4 linked regions of the Drosophila melanogaster genome follow. The protein of the gene in region 1 interacts with the protein of each later gene in a pairwise test. Each region holds a gene or a part of one and is shown in the gene's direction. Other genes may lie near its edges.

The links.
Region 2: the proteins of CG8997 (region 1) and tun interact in a two-hybrid assay, tested with the Drosophila melanogaster proteins (one large-scale study listed by BioGRID).
Region 3: the proteins of CG8997 (region 1) and Eip63E interact in a two-hybrid assay, tested with the Drosophila melanogaster proteins (one large-scale study listed by BioGRID).
Region 4: the proteins of CG8997 (region 1) and CG13097 interact in a two-hybrid assay, tested with the Drosophila melanogaster proteins (one large-scale study listed by BioGRID).

The regions. Positions count from the first base shown.
Region 1 is NT_033779.5:13,843,379-13,847,087, reverse strand, and holds CG8997 (uncharacterized protein), read left to right. Parts: upstream 1-1,762; 5' UTR 1,763-1,825; coding exon 1,826-1,895; intron 1,896-1,959; coding exon 1,960-2,672; 3' UTR 2,673-3,173; downstream 3,174-3,709. Other genes in the region: CG7916 (uncharacterized protein), read right to left, coding at 1-134, 205-310; CG33306 (uncharacterized protein), read left to right, coding at 3,382-3,460, 3,516-3,709.
Region 2 is NT_033778.4:15,792,089-15,797,042, forward strand, and holds the start of tun (tungus), read left to right. Parts: upstream 1-1,911; 5' UTR 1,912-2,862; intron 2,863-4,954. UniProt on the Drosophila melanogaster protein: Mediates the side-chain deamidation of N-terminal glutamine residues to glutamate, an important step in N-end rule pathway of protein degradation.
Region 3 is NT_037436.4:3,513,908-3,518,763, forward strand, and holds the start of Eip63E (Ecdysone-induced protein 63E), read left to right. Parts: upstream 1-1,843; 5' UTR 1,844-2,027; exon of another isoform or gene 2,028-2,621; 5' UTR 2,622-2,866; coding exon 2,867-2,921; intron 2,922-4,856.
Region 4 is NT_033779.5:8,511,660-8,516,772, reverse strand, and holds CG13097 (uncharacterized protein), read left to right. Parts: upstream 1-1,904; 5' UTR 1,905-2,018; coding exon 2,019-2,113; intron 2,114-2,180; coding exon 2,181-3,927; intron 3,928-4,033; coding exon 4,034-4,180; 3' UTR 4,181-4,599; downstream 4,600-5,113. Other genes in the region: mRpL51 (mitochondrial ribosomal protein L51), read left to right, coding at 1-5; PIG-U (phosphatidylinositol glycan anchor biosynthesis class U), read right to left, coding at 158-411, 472-743, 806-1,430, 1,491-1,620; CG13096 (uncharacterized protein), read left to right, coding at 5,005-5,113.

The DNA.
Region 1 (3,709 bases):
ATCAGCATTGGTGTAGGGATCCAGTGGTGGAATTCCATATTGGGGCCAACCACAAGGCATTTGGTTCAGCAGTCCATTGATGGCCTTCTTCACCGATCCGTTCAAGATCAGACCCTGAGTATCGGGCTTGGCGGCTGTTTGCGGGGAATCACATTGCAATTAGTCCTCTGTTTGGTCAGGTGATGGATGGCTTAAGACACTTACGATTACGCGCCACCAGCTGGTCCCATTGCTCCTCGGTGAGCAGCTCCACATCGTAGGCCGCTACGCAGGCCAAAAGGGTCACAAAAACACAAACGATAGCTTTCATTGTATAGCCAGCCACCTGATTGATTGTCCCAGCCGGTCAGTGGCTTTTATAGCAAAGCTAGCGGATTCGAAGGGCAAGCCGAGGGGAAGGGAAGGGATCACTTAACCAGGTTAACAAATACAAATGCTAATCGCTACTTTTGATTAGCGGAGCTGCCATGAACATAACGCCCAATTCACGATAGGCTTCCGATTTAAAAACGAAGGAATCAAATCATTCGGCAAGTGGTTTGTAAAAAAAGGGAGCACTTGTTTCGCCTGAGTGGCTTGTTTTGGCCTAATCTCGACGTCCAATTGGCCAATCGATTGTCAATATCACTTAAAGAATATATATTGCCTATCATTGCGATCTGGATTATACACAAATAACTGGTCTACCGGGGGTAAAACTGCGTCAACCACTCCATGCAGGTGTCGGCGGATTACACTGGATGACCGATTCGTATCACTCAGTGGGGGTAAATTCTTTTGTCTTCAGAGCTTCAGTGGCTTTTTTGTACTCTTTAGAACCTTAAAGGCGTACTAAAAAGTGATTTATTGCTATTCTGATTACGATTTTACAAGGGGAACTAACACAATGGGTAAACTACTTATTGATAAACATATTGGGCTAGGACTGGCGTTAACTTTAAAGCCAATAATTCGTTAAGAGAGTATTTGACTAGCCATCAGGTGTTAATCGTCTGGATTTTTTTATTAATAGATCCATTCGTAAGACCTTTAAATACCCCAGTCGAGATATCATTCATAAATCACTCAATGCACTTAAAAATCACTTGATTGTTAATCAATAAACAAACTTTTCGCAGACTTTAGATCCGCAGAAGTGCATGGAGAATTTTAATTCCAAACAGACTTCTTTAGAAGATTATAATCATGCTAAATTTTTGGTAGTCGTTTTCAATTTTGATAATTACTTTGTTAAAATGTTTCCTATTGGCTTCAACACCTGCATGACCTTAAAATATCGATTGATGGAAAGTTTTCGTAAGACCATACATTTAATGTATGAGTACTCTGTAATCGCGAAACTAATGATTTTAAAATCTTGTTTCCAAGTCAACCACTAATCCTACACCTTCTTTTTTAGAAAACGTTTTAGAAAAACACACTTTTTTGAAGCCTTCTAACCATAACAAAGCGGGGACACACCCCAAATAGACTTTGATCTTGACACTCCTCCACAAGAAGGCAATGTTTGTACTTTAGTGAAAACTGTCTTTTTAAATCTGATCATTTCCTTAGGATAAGTACCCCCATGTATGTATATATAACTAATCATTAAAATTAAAAAATTTGCCAACCGGGGAATCGTTGGCCGAGATAAGACAGCAATAGGCCATCGATTGAACGCCCGGTGGCTAATCAAATCGTTCACGAGTACGAAGCCACCTTATCACAACCCCACCTGAAATGTTGATCGTCTATAAAAAGCGACTCGTGCGACCGGACGACTGAGTAGTATAAATACCGTAGGTACTACGATCAGTCGGTAGGACTCTCAGTCAAAGCAATAATGAAAATCTTCGTGGCTATTTTGGCTTTTGTGGCCGTTGCCAGTGCGGCTTCCATGGGCCAGCCCATTGGTGAGTATTCCAGATGATTTCCAATGCCCAAATATTTAGCATACCTATCCATTTGATTCTCTAGAAACCCAGTCGATCTCCAGCACGATTGTGGATGTGATCGAGGGCATTAAGGAGCAGATGCCCTGTGGCTTTACCAGTGTCGGCCTGCCGCCATTGGCTCCTCTTAGAATTGACCATCAGGATATCAACATCGATAGCAGCGTGCTGAAGGCTCAGGGAACCATTGATCACTTCCGCCTGAACGGTCTGAATGATTTTGATATCGATGAGATGAAGGTCAACGCCATCACCAGCAAGGTGACCTACAAGTTCACTTTCCGCGACGTGAACGTGGATACCCAATACGATTTGAGTGTGCTGCTAAAGAAGTACGGATTTACCATCAATCTGATCGGTGCCGGACATGCCAAATTCGCCATCAAGGATATGGTTATCTGGGGCACTATGAAGTACTCACTCGGCGTGATCAGCGGCAACCTGAAGCTGAAGTCATTGGAGGTCCGCACCCACTTGGGTGAGGTTGATTCCGAGATCGAGGGCATCCTGGGCGATGGCAGCATCAACGAGAAGATGAATGAGTACTTGGCCGAGGCCGTGGAGCTGGCCATCAATGAGAACGAAGATCTGATTGCCGATACCATCGAGAGTATTGCCCTGCCCGCCGTCAACAGCGTTCTGGACGACATCAGCATCGCCGAGATCATCTCCGGTGCCGGTGGTGATGGTGAGGGTGGAGAGAAGGAGGCCTGCATTCCCCCCGAGTTCGAGTGGTAAACAAATCATCGGTCATTAAACAACCGTTTATGAATCAAGAATTCGTCACCTGGCTCTTTTCTTGCGGGACTGGCTTTCGGTGGGTTTTTTTTTGTTCATTGCATTGGGAAATTTAAACGATGTTTTAAAAAGCTTAATATTTACAACATCCATCAGCTTTCATTATATTTCAAAGACGGTCTAATCTCAAGTTGTGTCCTATCTGTCATAAAACACTTTGCCAAATTATTTGCCGATTAATAAAGCTACTTCACATGCACAGAAAAAAAATGTAGATTCATACAAAATAATATAATAAGATATAGCGATTTTCAGAATATGATTTTTATATCAAAGGGAATATCTTAGAGCACTGTACTCAATACCTCACCATTTTGTGTCAATAAACAATAATTTTGATATGAGAGGAATGCCCCTAATATTTCTTTAAACCTTTATAAACACTAATTATTTAAGAATAAATAACAAATTGTTCCATATTTCAACCATGTTTTTGTAAATATAAGCCAAGAAAGCATTCACTGTTTATTCACTGTACATAGAAGTTTTCCTAATATTAAAATTTTTTAATCTAGACACTGATATTTTTGTGCTGTGTACCGATAGATTATCTCAATGGTCATTTTCCTATATAAGAGGAATGGATTTGGCAAGCTTCGACTAGTGGATTTTGATTGCCAAAAGGGTTAACTAGTGTTCTGTGCTAAGAATGAAGTCTGCATTCCTGATTGCGCTTATCGTGGCCCTGGCCAGCTGTCAAGGTGCCGAAGTTGCCGAACCTTTGTCAGGTGAGAATATGAAGAAAATTTTAGGGAAAATTTAATAATCATAGTTAATTTTCAGCCCAAGGACGCTCTTTCTCCAGCGTAATTGTGGACGGATTGGAGGCATTCAGGGTCGTCCTGCAAAATGGTAGCCCGAGATTTGGAATCCCCGTTATGGCACCCATGAAGGCGGCGCAGAGGTCGTTCGAAATCAACTCGGGAGAATTCAGTGGCACCTTTGGAGTCGAGAACTTTGAACTTCAGGGGCTCGAT
Region 2 (4,954 bases), on another chromosome or scaffold:
CTATTACGCTTTCGCCTGAAACAAGCGTACTCAATAAAACTTTTAAAGGCTTTTCATATTAAATGCACAAGTTTCCGGATGGAAGGCTTTGGGAAATGCTCGCAAAACCCACTCCCCCCCCAAAACTTTTCCCCAATTTCCCACACTCTTGTGTGCACTCGAGCAACTTTTAAGCCTTCGCCGGACTGCTGATGATGTCCGCTCGGCTTGGCGGCTCTCAATTAAATATTTAACTTTAAGAAATGTAATTTCAATTAGCGCCACAGCATTTGGCCATTAGCGTGGCGAGTGCCGAGATTTGTGCCAATTGCGAAATGCGGAATACAAAAACAAGAGCCGCGATGAATGAGCAAACAGCAAGGAGCAGGAGGAAAATCGCAGGAAAATCGTGGGTGGAGTATGAAAAGCTGCGGGTTGGTCGGAATTTGGACACCCGCGCCTCTCGCTCAAAATCATTACGTGATTAAGGTTGCCATTACGGCCGGGAAAGCAAAAATAGAAAACTAGAGCATGGCACGCAGACAGCTGCAGAGGGGTTTTCTGCGGGACGGAAAACGGAGGAAAATCGGGACAGGGGGGCAGACGCTCAGCGACCGCAATTGCGCTCGCTTGGTTTGGCGGAAAATAAAATGAAGTGAAAGAAAATAAAATAAAATAAAACAAAATAAAATGATATAAAGAACAAAAAGCAACAAGAACCAGCTAAATAACAGCAAATAGAAATAAATAAATCAGCGACACGGCAGATGAGCTCTGGGGAGGATGGGCGGCCACAGGGACCCATCTTCGCCGCACAAAAACAATTAAAATGAAAAACCGTAAGCACTCTAATTCCGGGCGGAAAACGGGCGGCACTTTTCCGACTACTTCGAATTCGTATTCCGCATTCGTTCTCCGCACGAGCGAGCAAAATGGTTCGAAAACAAATTTGCCGATCTAATTAAAAGCTAAATTGTGACCATTAAATGGGGTTCACAACGCCACTGTCTACCTTACACATAAAACAAAAACGGATTCCATTCGATAGGCAAGTTAATATATATTACTCAAAATAATTAGTTTTTTTAGTAACATCGAAGTAAAGTTGTTAAGACTAAAGAGTGCGATATGTTTTCTCAAGTATTTCAATTCCCTTTTTTCCAGTGAACTATCTGTGACCTTAAGTGGGTACCACGGCATGGAAAAACATTGAAAAGCATTTAAGTTCGCTCCGCCTTTCAACAAGTTGGCAAGCAATGCAATTTACGGATGCAGAGCCCGGCGAAATGGATGAAGTGGAACGGGTGCCAGGATGCAAGGACATGGCCATTAGTGGGCCACGGGCCACGAGTGGAATAGAAAAAGTATGCCAAGCTGACCGCATAGCACAGGATAACACAGACCAGGACGAGAACGAGCCACTGATGCTGGGACAGGACCTGAAACTGGAACTGGAGATGGAGATGGAGATGGAGCTGGAGACTGTGCATGCGGACACGGACGTCTGGCAAATTGTAAATTAATTGATGAAGCCAGCGTTTAGAAGAGGCAGGGACAAACTCTCGGACTTCGGAATGTCAGGGCGGTCGCTGGAAATATTCGACAGGGATTGGGCTAATACTTTGAGCTTACAGTGAGTAATGCTGGTATTATAGCGAATAACTGCATAACATAGCAAAAAAATCGTCTTAAGTTTTTAGACTGTTTGCAGAAGGGTAGTTTACATTACTCATAACATAAACTCATATAAAATATTTTGCAATACTCTCATTGTGAGATACTTTAGCCCCCCTAAGAGGCAGCCCCTGGAATCGAGTAACTCGAACTGCAGCTGACATCTCGAACGGTAAGAGATGGCAATACGGAATGGAGCAGGATGGAGCAACGCTGACAAATTGCTGGTAGCAAGATTAATGCCTGCATTATCTTTCCTCATTTGTCGATTGTCAATGCAACTGGGCCGCGTCCGCAGCAGAATAGCAACAACAACAAGTTGATGCAGCAACAGGGACGACAACAGAACAGAACGCCCCTGGGGCGTGGCAGTTTACCTTTACCTTTGCGTTTTACCTGTCCAATGCCGCATTGTTCTCTGATTTCCCATTTTCCTCCTCTCTATCGCTGACATTTTTCAATTTGATGATGCACAGCAACAACAAACAACCGAGTGGGCGGCAATTTCGTCCTTATTTTTCCCATTCGAGCGCTTTTCCTTCTGCCGTTCCTTTTTTAATGGCATCTGGTGCTCGACAAGGTAATTTCATTTTTATATTAATGACAGTATGTTTGATGCATGTCCCTTTACAACTCCGTCTCGCTCGCTTAATCACTTAAGACTCTTAAATGCGAAAAATAAAAAACACAATGTGCCATATGGGTACACTTAATGGCCAATTGGTCGGTGGAATATGTCACGGTTTTGTTCAATTTAATGCCCGTGGAAATACAACTCTGAATATTTGCGAACATGAAACGTGAAAATTGCACTAATTAGTCAAGTCATCGATTATTTATCGATGGGGGGAGCAGGCATCACGTGGCAATCGATGCTGGGGGAAAAGTTAATTTTGGTAGTGTGTGTCGCAATTGCAGTTGGATAATTTGAAAATGCAATTACCAAAAATTAGTGCAATAATAGATAACGGGTGTTCTTGGTTTCCATTTTTAATTACTAGCATGTATTTTAACCTGTGCTGAATCGATAGTTGAGAAGTAATCCGTGTCATCGTTAGAATTAGAAAAGCTCATCACTGATCTTGTTTTGTTGACAAATCTTCAATGGAAAATCTTCAATAGCGAGTGTAAAGTGCAATTAATTTAAAACAAATCCAGGAAGTGAAAGATGTGAATGTAAATAAATCAGCAAAGAAGCAGATAAGACAGGTAGTACAGCTCATCGTATATTTTAAAATCTAGTATAAACCTTAAACTTTTTCGGCAGGTAGGCAAAAACTCAGCAATAAACCAAAATCAAAGGTGATAAGTCTTAAATTTTCATATTTTCCCATATATGCCCTTGTACTATGTACTTCGCACCTGCACGAACGACCATTTGGAGCCCCCCTTTCTAGGGCATTGTGAATGCCACCAATTAGTAGAGTCCTGCTCCCAAAAAAATGGAATATGGCGAGACAATATGTTCAGCTGAGCCCAAACAACTGCAGGCTAGAATCTAAATCCTTGCCGTCCAATAAAAACAGTAGAATGGATGTGGATGGACGGGTTGGATTCCGGGGTGTGGGGGGGTCCAACATTCCGGATGTGCCTGTTGGTCGTCGAAAATCTAGCGAACTTTACAGACAGAACAATGCCCTTCGGATTCCGAGTTGAGTGGAATTTTAGGTCTAAATCCGGCAGGGTCATAAAAAGTGCTTATTACATTATCACCTCAAGCGTGGCTGAGCTGGCTGTGGGCAGTGCCACGCCCACCCGCACACACACTGGCCCGTCCACAAAACGCAATTCACTCTCTCCCTCTTGCCTTATCAAAGGAACTGTTTGTGTGTGTGTCTACATGCCCTTCCCTTCAAAGGATATTACGATTCCTTCATCTGCTTTGTGTACTGCAGATCTTCCGAGGAGTTTGCCTTTAAATGATTACATGATGAGTAATTCAGAGCTTAGGACTAATCTGAAATCTAGAAATCTGTGAATAGATCACTTTAATACCTGTATGCATGATTCTGAACCATCCTCTTTTTTGTGGTATGAGTCGGCATTGCTTTGAAGATGTATTCTTAAAAGGTTTGATCTTAAGAAGCATATACCAAGTTGATCTAATTAAACATCTTACATTTTGAATTCCAATCTATTTAATGGTTGCTAGAGCCAACTGTTGATATCTCATTATATTTTTGCCAAGCCAGTGGCTATCGTTATTAAATATATTCCCGTAAATTGATTTAGTAAATAAAAATTAAATTTACAATCTGCTAGAGTATTCTGAAGTTCAGTGGCCGCAGCTGAATCCCCTTTTCTCGGTTTTTGCTGCGTGTTTTGGTTCTTTATTATGGCCCAGGCAGCTGCGTTTTTCAATTTTCGCTTTTTTAGGCCTGCAAACTCTCACCTGAGCTCGTTGAGCCCTGAGCCTTGAGCCGATTTGTTTCGGTTCGGTTCGGTTTGGTTTGGTTTGGTTTGTTTCAGTTCGGTCGCTTCAGTCACTTATTGGCAAATGTTTCGTAGCTGAAAAACGGAGGAAAATTCGGAGGAAAAACGGGGCGGAATCTGGTGCAGAAATGCGAAAAATGTGTAAATTTGCGCCCGCTTTTATTTTTCGCATTTGGCCCGGATGATGTGTAGCGGCTGATCCGCTTTGGCAACGCTCCCAGGTTCGAGTTCATTCAATTTGGATTAAGTCGTTCGTGTTGATTAACAAAATTGACTTTTTTGCAGACTTCTCGCCAATCGATTTCGATTTGGGATCGATGGAGAGCAGGCGCAGCTGTAAACCATTTAGCCGACGATGCCGTAGACGTTTAGTAAATATTCAATCAATTTGGATGGACAATAAATCACCAGGAAATCAAGAGCGTCTCAATTTCTCCGAGAAGATATGCGTCATAACAATAAAAAAAGAAGCATCCCATTTCCCGCCCTTTCCCCCAAAGTGCGGCAAATAAACAAGACAAGGCGACAGGCCATAATATATCATGGCCCCAAGGCGCCTGACGACACGACACGAAGATGGAGAGTCAGCTTCGAAGGACACTGATGCGTAATGGCTGCCATGGGGATGACATCGATCCGGAGCTCCGTCTCCTTAACTGCAAATCAATGACATATATTTACGCCAAATGCGTTTGCCCGCCGGGGCCACATGGACGGGAATAATAGGTTGAAATAAAGTAATAACCCGAATAATAGCATATGTCGGCGGAGCCATTACCTGCCGCTAATTGCCGGACAAACTTCTCCTGTCGCCGCCTAAGCCGGTCGCCAATTAAAGCCAAACAAATGCCGTTTGGAGTGCTAAAAG
Region 3 (4,856 bases), on another chromosome or scaffold:
AAAACTTATCTCCTGTCCACTTGGGACTTTCATATGGTGATCGATCGATCGATCGATTGAACCATTTGCAGCTCGATCGGCGGTGGTCAGAACTCGTTCTGTGGCCCTTTTGGCCAACAAGAGGTCTGCAAACAGGCCAAACCTGCAAGGGCCAAGACGATTTACAACCAAAGATGATAAAAAAAAAGAACGAAATTCAACTAAAAAACGAGGAAGCACTGATTTTTAAAAACAGCGTTTCAATACCCTTCAATTCGAGGAATTATAATGATTCTTGGCTGGTACAGCTTGATATGGGTTATAAGTTTATATAAGTTGAACTATTGCATATTGTTAATATTCCACAAGAAGTGCTATCAAGTATTGCTATTAAAGTTAAAAATATAAAACTAATCGCCTGACTATTTTAGTATACCTTTTCTGAGGGCATCAAGAGCAATCAAAGATCGAAGTGGATTGCAAAGGACATTGACTTGAAACTCTGGGATCTCACAACTGATCTCTTTCAGATATTTTATGACCCCAGCTTGTGGCTTTTAATTCTGCAACAAAATTGATTTCGGCAATGGGAAGAACACGTTTCCCCCCGAGTTACAAACAAAAAAAAAAACTCATTTCGGTTCTGTCGATTTTTATGGCTTTTCTTGGAGTTGGTTAATCGCCTTCTTTTTCTCTGATCTCTGGCGCCCAAAATATTTTTGCTCGAGTTTCGGTTTTTAGCTTTGATATTATGCAATTGCTAGCCGTACTCTTTTTTACACAATTGACTGTCGAATTAGCACCTCACTCACATCCAGCGACAGGTGACGATAAGGCGGGCGGGCAGTGGGCGTGGCAGCAGCAACAACAACACACATTACTCTAAACGGTGGCAACTTTCACTCAACAGCCGTGCGGAATACTAAAAAAAAAATCAAAAAACAAATAAATACCCGTGCAAATTGGGTGACAAAAACAGCAACAAAATGTCAGAAAAAAAAAAAAAAAAAACTGGGAGCGAGTGGGAGAGTCAGGCGATCTTCGTCATCCAAAATTACCTCACTTATCAACCTAAGCCGATTGTTGTTGCCGAAATATTGGTGTCATATTTTCTTGTCAAGGTCACAAATTTGTTGTCAAATTGTAAAAAAATGTTTATTGGGTCTAAAACAATAGTGAATAATTGTAAACGAATTTCTGCCAAGGTCAGTTATCCCTTTTGAACTTCGAGAAAAATATAGAAAAAAGAGAGTTTAGCCTTAGAAAAATTTTCAGTGGCTTTAATATTTATGTTGGCTGTTAAATAGGTTTGGAGTCGTAATAAAAACGTTGAATTCAAAAATATTAAAGAACTCAAGAAAATGTTGTATTAAAACTATAAAAAACATTCTGTCAAATAACATGATATTTTTATATATTAACAAAACAAAAATGAAGGAACAATTTTATATTATTGTTATTTGCCCTCAGTTGCAATCCACATTTCTTTAAAGTGCAATATGAGAATTCAGTTATTTCATTGTTTTAAAAACTTTGAAAGCAGGCTGCCAGAAAGTGGAAAAGATGACTTTGACGTTGCCGGATAGTTGTATTTTAATGTACTGTTAACCTTGGATTTTAACTTGTTAGTTTCTATAAGATCTCTAGCTAGTTGCTTTACCGTTCCGATTAAAAGGCTAGAGGAACCGCATTGTTTCTTGAAATTTAGAGAAATTAGTATTGTTCTTGTAGAACTTAAGTCAATACAATTATTTTTTTTTAACAGAATTCTGTTACTTGCGTGCTGTTAAAAGTTAGCAGTATTTTCTGCAAAGTCATATGTTTTGGTATTTCTCAGCTGCGCCGCCTGATTTTTTGGCGCTGACCCCTGCCTGGCCACACTGGCGATGTGGTGTGACCAAATTCGTGCTCGCTCCGCGAGTCGCCGTCAAAAAACAACTGTGAAATTGCACAAGAAACTAAACAAATAATCGCGTAAAATTACCGAAAACATGTGCAGCGGCCGTTAGCAGCGTGCGGCAACTAATCGAGCCAGTGAAAACGTGCAGGTGCGAGCGAGAAAACACGCGTACGCGTCACTAGCAACAACAACAAACACACAGTGCACCAACTCTCGCATAAGCACGCACACACACACACACACACGCGCGCACACATGCATAAACACCGACGCACATGCAACAAAAATAAAATAAAAACAAAAGAGCAAGCGAAATAATAACAGAAATAAATTTGATAAATTCAATTATAAATTAAGGCAGCTGCTTGTGTGCTAAGCAAAAATATTAAATAGAAAGTCTTGGCCACTTAAGTGAACCAAAATTAGAGAAGCAGCAGAGTGCCCAAAATATCAATATATAGATTTGATATCTAAAAGTAACGAAAGTTAACTTAAAACCTTAATGGTGGACAATGGATCAAAAAAACAAAATCCCTACTAAAATAAATTCCAAATACTTGCTAAATGAATGAAACCCGCAAATAAAGTCGATTCTTACCAAGATAACCAAAACTAGCTTCATGACTTTTAATTCTTGTTGTTTTAATTTTTGTGCACTTCCTGGTTACGGAACACCTGGAAAACCCCATCCTCGCCTTTTTCCACGCTGATTAACAAATCTCGCGTTTTTCCCCCCTATCAGCTGACATACGCATACAAAGCCCATCCAGTTGCCACCCCCTACTTCTTGCACCTGTAAAGAACAGGTGACTAATACACTGCTCGCGAAGTTTGTCAGCTGCTGGCGCCGTGGAAGCAACAACAACAAAACTAACCACATCCACATCGGCAACAACAACATCGGCTTTCTACAGAGCAGCGACGTCGGCGTCGGCAGAGGCCTCTGCCTGCACAACACCAGCAACAATAAAATCAAAAACTAAAACTATGGCCACCACCACCACAACAACAACAACAACGGGGGCAACAAATGCTAAAGATGGTGAGTTATATACTTAAAAGGATTTAAGATTAAAGAAAATATATCACAAGAAGTAAAACCCTTAAAAATCTTTAAAAAGAAACAGTAAATGGTGACCCACAAAAAACTGAAGCACAGATGCAAGGGTGCACATACAAACGACAAGTCGGTTAAAGTTCAAGGCGAACGAACAATTTAAATTGCAGGTTTCCGGTCAATGCCACTCTGTGTAATTAAACTAAAGTTAGTTGGTCGACCTAGATATTAGTATAACCTTTGGCTAAGAAAGACTGACATTTAAAGGCAATTAAAGGAAGGTTAGGTTTTAAGAAGAGCCATAAAACTATGGAAATAAACATACAATATCTTTAAATGTTTGGAAGGTTTTTCATTAAGGTTCTTTCATCTCCAGATGGCGGCAGAGAAATTAAAAAAAAAAACAAGTAAAATTCCATAATTCGCCCGCTTATCTGCGCTTTTCCAAAGACTTGCACATTTGTTTGCCCGGTACACAAGGCCGTAATCCTAATCCCTCAAAAGCTTAATCTTTTGTTTTGTATTCCGGGATCCGGGCAAAAAACCCTGAAACAGCAATCCCCACCAACGCATCTGACGTAACTTGTTGAGCAACCACGATTGCTGGCCGATTTGTTTTTGGACTTCTTTTTGGGCTGAGGAAAGAAGAAAAGTTTTATTAATATCAATAACCAAAAGAGCGAAGCGAGGGCAGCGAATAAGGCAAGAAATTAATGAATGCCACTGGTCGCGGGGAATAAATTTGAACAAAAAGCGAGGCACAAAGCAGCAAAAGCAAAACAAACCATAACCAGCTTAACAACGATAATTAAGAAGTGCCGGCCAGCAAAAAAAAAGTGTAAAAAATTACATACGAAATTTAATTGCCAAGGCGGAAAATGGTAGCATGCGGGGGGCAACAAGGGGGTATGGGGCCATGGCGAAGGTCAGCTAGGGGCCTGAAGGTCATAGGCATTTTCGACGTTGTCGTCACCTCTTGAACCCGCTCGAATTTATTGATTTTACACGCAGCAGCCGCAAAAAAGAGAGGAATAATCACAAAAACAACGGCAGCTACAAAATCATGCATATTTCTCGTTGCCCGATGTTTTACTACACCTTGAACAGTGGTCATCGGGTATGGTGAGCTACTTAATTAAAAAAACTTTTCATTATTAAGTTATTGCGAGCAGTAATTGTTAACGCCGCTAGGTGGAGCTCGTGTGCAATCCCGATAACAGTGGCACTCCTTTTAGTTGAATAAATGGTATGTCATAGTGTTGGCACTCCACCAATGTTCTTTGTTTCGCTTCGCGAGCATCCACTGTAGCCTTTATTCATATTTGTGTGCCCCAAACACTGGCACACAAAGCCAAACACACACAGAGAGCGACTTGTGCGGCTTTTGCTGGGCACTCGAGTAGTTCAGTGCGGGGCTTATGCCAAAGGCCAAATGGAAAACCTGCTTTAAGAGCCAGTGAGAGAAGCATACGAATCAGTCCAGCCACTGCAGAGCCCAAATCCCCTCCATGGCCACAGTTTGATGCTGAAATCGTGTGTTGTCTTTGGGGCTTGATAAACTGTAGCAAGCCCACAAAAATCTTCTAATTAAATCAAAGCTAACGGTTGCCGTTTAACGGTTTTCGTTCATAAAACTTGGCCAAAAAATCTAACTCGCTGTTCTTTCTGAGTTTTTTTGTTTTGTTTTTGCTTAGATACCATTGCCAATTTTAGGTTGCCATTTTTATCCCAACATTCTCATTTTGAGAGTCATTTTCTGTGTTATTTCTTATCAACTAAAACAAAAGGCAAAACTTTGATAAGCCAGTTGACACAGCGGGAAACATGATTCATTTGAGTGGTTCACATATTACATGGACTTTGGAATTTTCACTTAATTTAATCAATACGTATGTAGGTATGCACAAGTGATCGTAAATA
Region 4 (5,113 bases), 5.3 Mb from region 1:
AGTAAAAAACCATTACAATCAAATAAAATATTTTGTTTAATCTGATATTGTTCGGAGTTAACTTATCTTAAGAGTATGCTCGGCTGCCATTAGGAAGCGCATTCTGCATCTGTACAAAGTTCCTGGATTCTGTCCGTCATACTGATACTGTTAATGCTTACTTTAAGACTATCCTCGCTTCCTCGCCATCGATCAGAATCTTCTGACCATTGAACAAGCAGAACTCACGTTTAACGTGCGCGAACAGCAGATCGGTGATTAGAAATATCTGCCCAGTGGAAAACGCAAGAGTGGCACCGAAATAGAAATTGGCATTTGCCGATCCTGCATAGATCCACAAATGCCAAAGGGCTCCCATCATAGATAGAGTGACCAGGAAGAACGTAAAGACCACAAAGCCATGGGCCATGACTGAAAGAAATTACCAAAGTGCTTAGCAGTTGAAATAACTACGTGAGCCAGATAACTTACATTTCCAACATCTTTTCCACAGCGGAAGCAAGGCCAGATAAAAGCCGACATCGCCCAGGCTGGGATACGCCCTAAAAACGGCCATAAGGGCCACCAATACCGTGGCTAGCAGTAGGGGCTCCTTGCGCAGCTTAATACTTAGTGGCACCAGGTATAATACGGTGGCATTCAATTGGAATGTGATTAGGAACATGGTGCGGAAGTGCTCAAACATTTCAGTAAAAAAGTACCAGAAGAGACCGATATTTGGCTGTAGATCGCGGAAATAAAATCTGTAAGATAGTTAAATACGTAAAAATACAAACAGATAACTAATAAGATAGTTCTTGCTTACATAAAACCCAACGTTCCATCCAGGAAGTTCCAGCTGTTCAGCACAAAATAGTTCGCAACTGCCACGATTAGACAACTGACGATAAAGAGCGCCGCTATAGCCACACCCCTCCTGACCGAATTCCGTGAAAAGACCAGGAGCAGTGGTGCTATAAGTACAATGGGATAGAAGCTGCGGACAGTTTCGAACGCGAGGACTAGAAGGCATGGAATGAGCATTCCCTTCACGAGGCAGTAGAAAAAGAAAGCCAGGAACAGATTGCTTATCACGGTGGAGGTCATTCCAATGCAGCTCATAACAGTCAGTGGACTGAAAAGATATGCCACGATCACAAGTTCCGGAATGTCAAGCTTGTCCAGCGGGCCAAACTGCAGCTCTTCCGTATCCTTGGCATACTCCTTTCGCTCCTTGTCCTGCTGATCCTGCTTTTGCTTGACGAATCTCAGACTCATCGCATAAAGCAGGGCCGCCGTGCAGATATCCAGGATTATGTAGAATATCGGCAGAAACTGCGGGTATTTTTGAAACAATCCGGAGAGCGCGCTGAGTATCAGCGGCGATTCGTGTACCAGGTCGCCCAGATAGGGATCAATGCCACTCTGTAGAAGAAATATCCCCTCTTGCACTGCAAGAATAACTCCATTCAGACTTGTTCATCTATTTGATGTCTACTTTGTTTACTTACTGCGCTTGTGTGAATTTAAAGGTGTCGCGAACTCCACTCGGTTGCCAATCATCGGAGCCAGCGGCGTGCGACAGAAGTAGAAGCGCACGGCGCCGCCCAGCAGGAGCAGTTTAAAGAACTTCGAATCCATCTTCTAGTTGGGCATAGTTTTTGTGAACGGACTCCGCCTGTAAAAAGCCGCCTACAGCTGGCTTGGTGGTGGCAAAGGCCTTCGATAAATTATCGATTTCCTTGTCACGATATACGGCTTCTGGTCTACTGTGTAAGCAATTATGATTTTTTTTAGAGCTTTGTTTTCTTCAAGTTAAATATATTTATTATTTTTGGAATAACAAATTTTGGCTCAAAACAGGATTCCAACTCGCATAAAGTTTTTAAGCTTGGAAAAACTTGTACTTGTATCACGCGCTCATCTCTATGTATCTGTTCCATCTCTCACCAACTGGTTGTTGTTTTTGGACCCGCTCTTGCGCTCGAATTGTTGGAATATATATTTCATTTAATTAAGCACAGAAAGCAGTAGTAAAAATGATTGGAAGTAAAAAATCCAAGGAGGCGAATGTCTTCAAGGAAATCGCAGAGAACTTCGAGCAGCTGACCAAGAATCCAGAGCGTTTTCTCCAGTTTGTTTTCCTTCCAAAGACCGCGCACGTGTTTTTTCAAACGTAGTCAAAACAATTTATATTTCAGGCCACAGCCGGAACAAGTGAATGCCATCGAGCAGCTTATCCAGCAGACATACGCCGTTAGCATCAGCGAGGATGTGGCGAACAAGAAGGAACTGCTGCCGGAATTGGTGCTGGAGCAAATGGACGAGGAGCAGATCTGGCAGCAACTGGAGATTCGCAACGAACTAGTGTTCCAACAGGTGCTGGAGCAAACCGCCAGGCTGACGGCGATGCGCGAGCAGCACCTGGGCATTGAACTGGACGATGGTGAAGAAATAGAGGAAGAAGACGAAGTAATACAAGCTGAAGACTCAGGCGATGAGGAACAAGATGAGGAATCAGACTTCAGCGACGAGGATGGAGGGCTACAAAAGCAGAAGACCGCGCCGCCGAAAGACAAACGAAACAAGCGACTACGCAACTCTGTGGTGGACGATACCTTCTTCAAGTTGGAAGAGATGAATGAGTTCCTGGAGCAGGAGGATGCCAAGGAGATGCGCCGCCTGAACAGCAAGAAACGCGTTGAGCAGGCCGATGATATAGATCATTTCGCAGAGGATTTTGGTCTTGGCGAAGATGAGGAGGACGATGAGGAGGGGAATGTCAACTATGCGGACTTCTTTGACATGAATGAGGAACTGACAGAGCATTCTAAAAAGATTAACAAAGGCAAGCAGAAAGATTTCTTCAATGAAAACGAGAGTGAAAATGAAAATGAACCGGATGAGGATGCAAATCCCAAAGAGGGCGATTCTGATCAAAGCGAAGGAGACGAGGGCGATGATGAACCTGAAAATGATCAAGATCCAGATGAGGCGGCCAGCGAAATAGATGAATCCGAATTCGTGGCAAAAAGTGGCATAGAACCTGCCAGCGATTCAGACTCGGATTCGGAGAAAGAAGAGGAGGAGCCACAACCCACAGAGCCACCGTCCCAATCATCCAATGAGATGAGAGAGGCTCGTTTGTTTCAACGCATCCGCGACTACGAAGACATTGTCCTAGGCGAGAAGCCTTGGCAGCTCAAAGGCGAAGTAAAGGCAGCCAATCGGCCCCAGAACTCACTGCTTGAGGAGATTCTCGACTTCGATTCGACCACCAGGCCAACGGCGCCAATCACGGAAGAGGATAACCGCTCCATCGAGGACATAATTAAGCAGCGTATTCGCGACAAAGCATGGGACGATGTGGAGCGCACTGTGCGACCGGTGAACACCCCGCAAGAGTACAGAAAACAACTTGTGCTTGACCAGGAGAAATCAAAACAATCGCTGTCGCAGATCTACGAGGCGCAGTATCAGCGCGAAATGGAAAAACTCGATCCCAATCGCGATGCCGATGACAAAACTGGTCCGGAACCGAAAGAACACCAAGAAATCAAGCGGGCAATGCGTTCCCTATTCCTTAAATTGGACGCCCTCTCCAATTTCCACTTCACGCCGAAACCGGTGGCGCCGGAGATCAAGATCGTAACGAACACACCAGCAGTTCACATGGAAGAGGTGGCCCCGCTGGCGGTGAGCGATGCCAAGCTGCTGGCACCCGAGGAGGTGTTCCGCGGACCCAAGCACGCTCCACTTGGCAAGACCGAACGCGATCGAACGGATAAGAACCGCGAGCGCCGCAAAAAGAAGCAAAAGCAGCGGGCCATCCACTCGGCTCTGGAGCAGCGCGAGCTTCAGCGAGCCAAGGAGGGCAAGGCGCCCACAAAGAAGGAAGCGGATGCCAAGCTGCTCAAGACAATCACCAAGAATCGCAATGTTCAAAAGGTATATAACATTTTAGTTTATCTCTGTTTTATGTTTTGTATTTAATTGCTATTCTTGAGCGATTTTGAATTCTAAATGAATCAAACTTTAAACGATTTTCTTGCAGATCAATGCCAGCAGCAACGACCAGGGAGCTCTGAAGTCCTCAAAGGCTTTCTTCCACAAACTGCAGGATACCGCAGCGGCTACAGCATCCAAAAAGCGACCGAAAAAGGATACCGCCAAGGCGGATGCCAAGAAGCTGAAGCTTTAAACGTACACGCTAGGACTCCTTCATATTGTAATTGCCTTAAGCCAGCAAAGTTTTCTCGTCTCCAGTCACGTGCCAGAAAGTTGTCACAAGCACACACGTATGCCCACATAGCAATCCTTGTTGCAAGAATATCTTTAGCATGTACTGTGTGTCTGGGGAGTCCCCAATTTGGTGCTCCATGGGAGATGCCATGTGTCGGTACTTTTAATGTTCCATGTGCGCGGATCCATCGTATGTGTATGTGATGCGTGGGCGCTTTGTGTGTGGCGGCGTGTGAGTCAAGGACATTCTGTGTCCTGTTGAGGCGATTAGGCACGCGTGCAGCTTGCGGAATTTGACTATTCTTAGAATTATTTACTTAAAATAACTGTTTGCTATGTAAATAGTACCCTAATTAAAGAAAGCAAAGCAAGTAACGTAGCCACTTGTTTTTTTGTTGGATTAGAGTAGAAATACTCAATCATATAATCATCATCATAATTTCTATATTACATTACAAAATTAAAAAATTTAATTTTATCTTCTAAGGGAGAAATAGAGATGGGATACAAATCGAAATCGATATGCTATAACGGTCAATTTTCCAATCGGTTTTGGTGAAACAGCTGCTATTGGTGCTCGGCCCTGCGAAGGGGGTGTGTATTGGCTAAAGTTGTGACCGTGCCTGAGACATCGGTAATGAAAATAGTTCCCGATATCGACTGTAGCTACGTTTTGCGATTCTGAACATATCGATATTAAAGCGTAGCACGTGTGGTTGTGGTGCATTTTAAATATAGTTTTGCTCGAGTTTTTACGCATCTGTCAAAAAAGCAAAAAATAATATGGTTAAAGTACAGAAACCGCAGCCCAAGTCGCTGAACAAGAGCGCCAGCATCGAGGGCGTGGTTAAGAAAAAGGGTAAACCGGAAAAGACCAAGAAACTGGCCACAG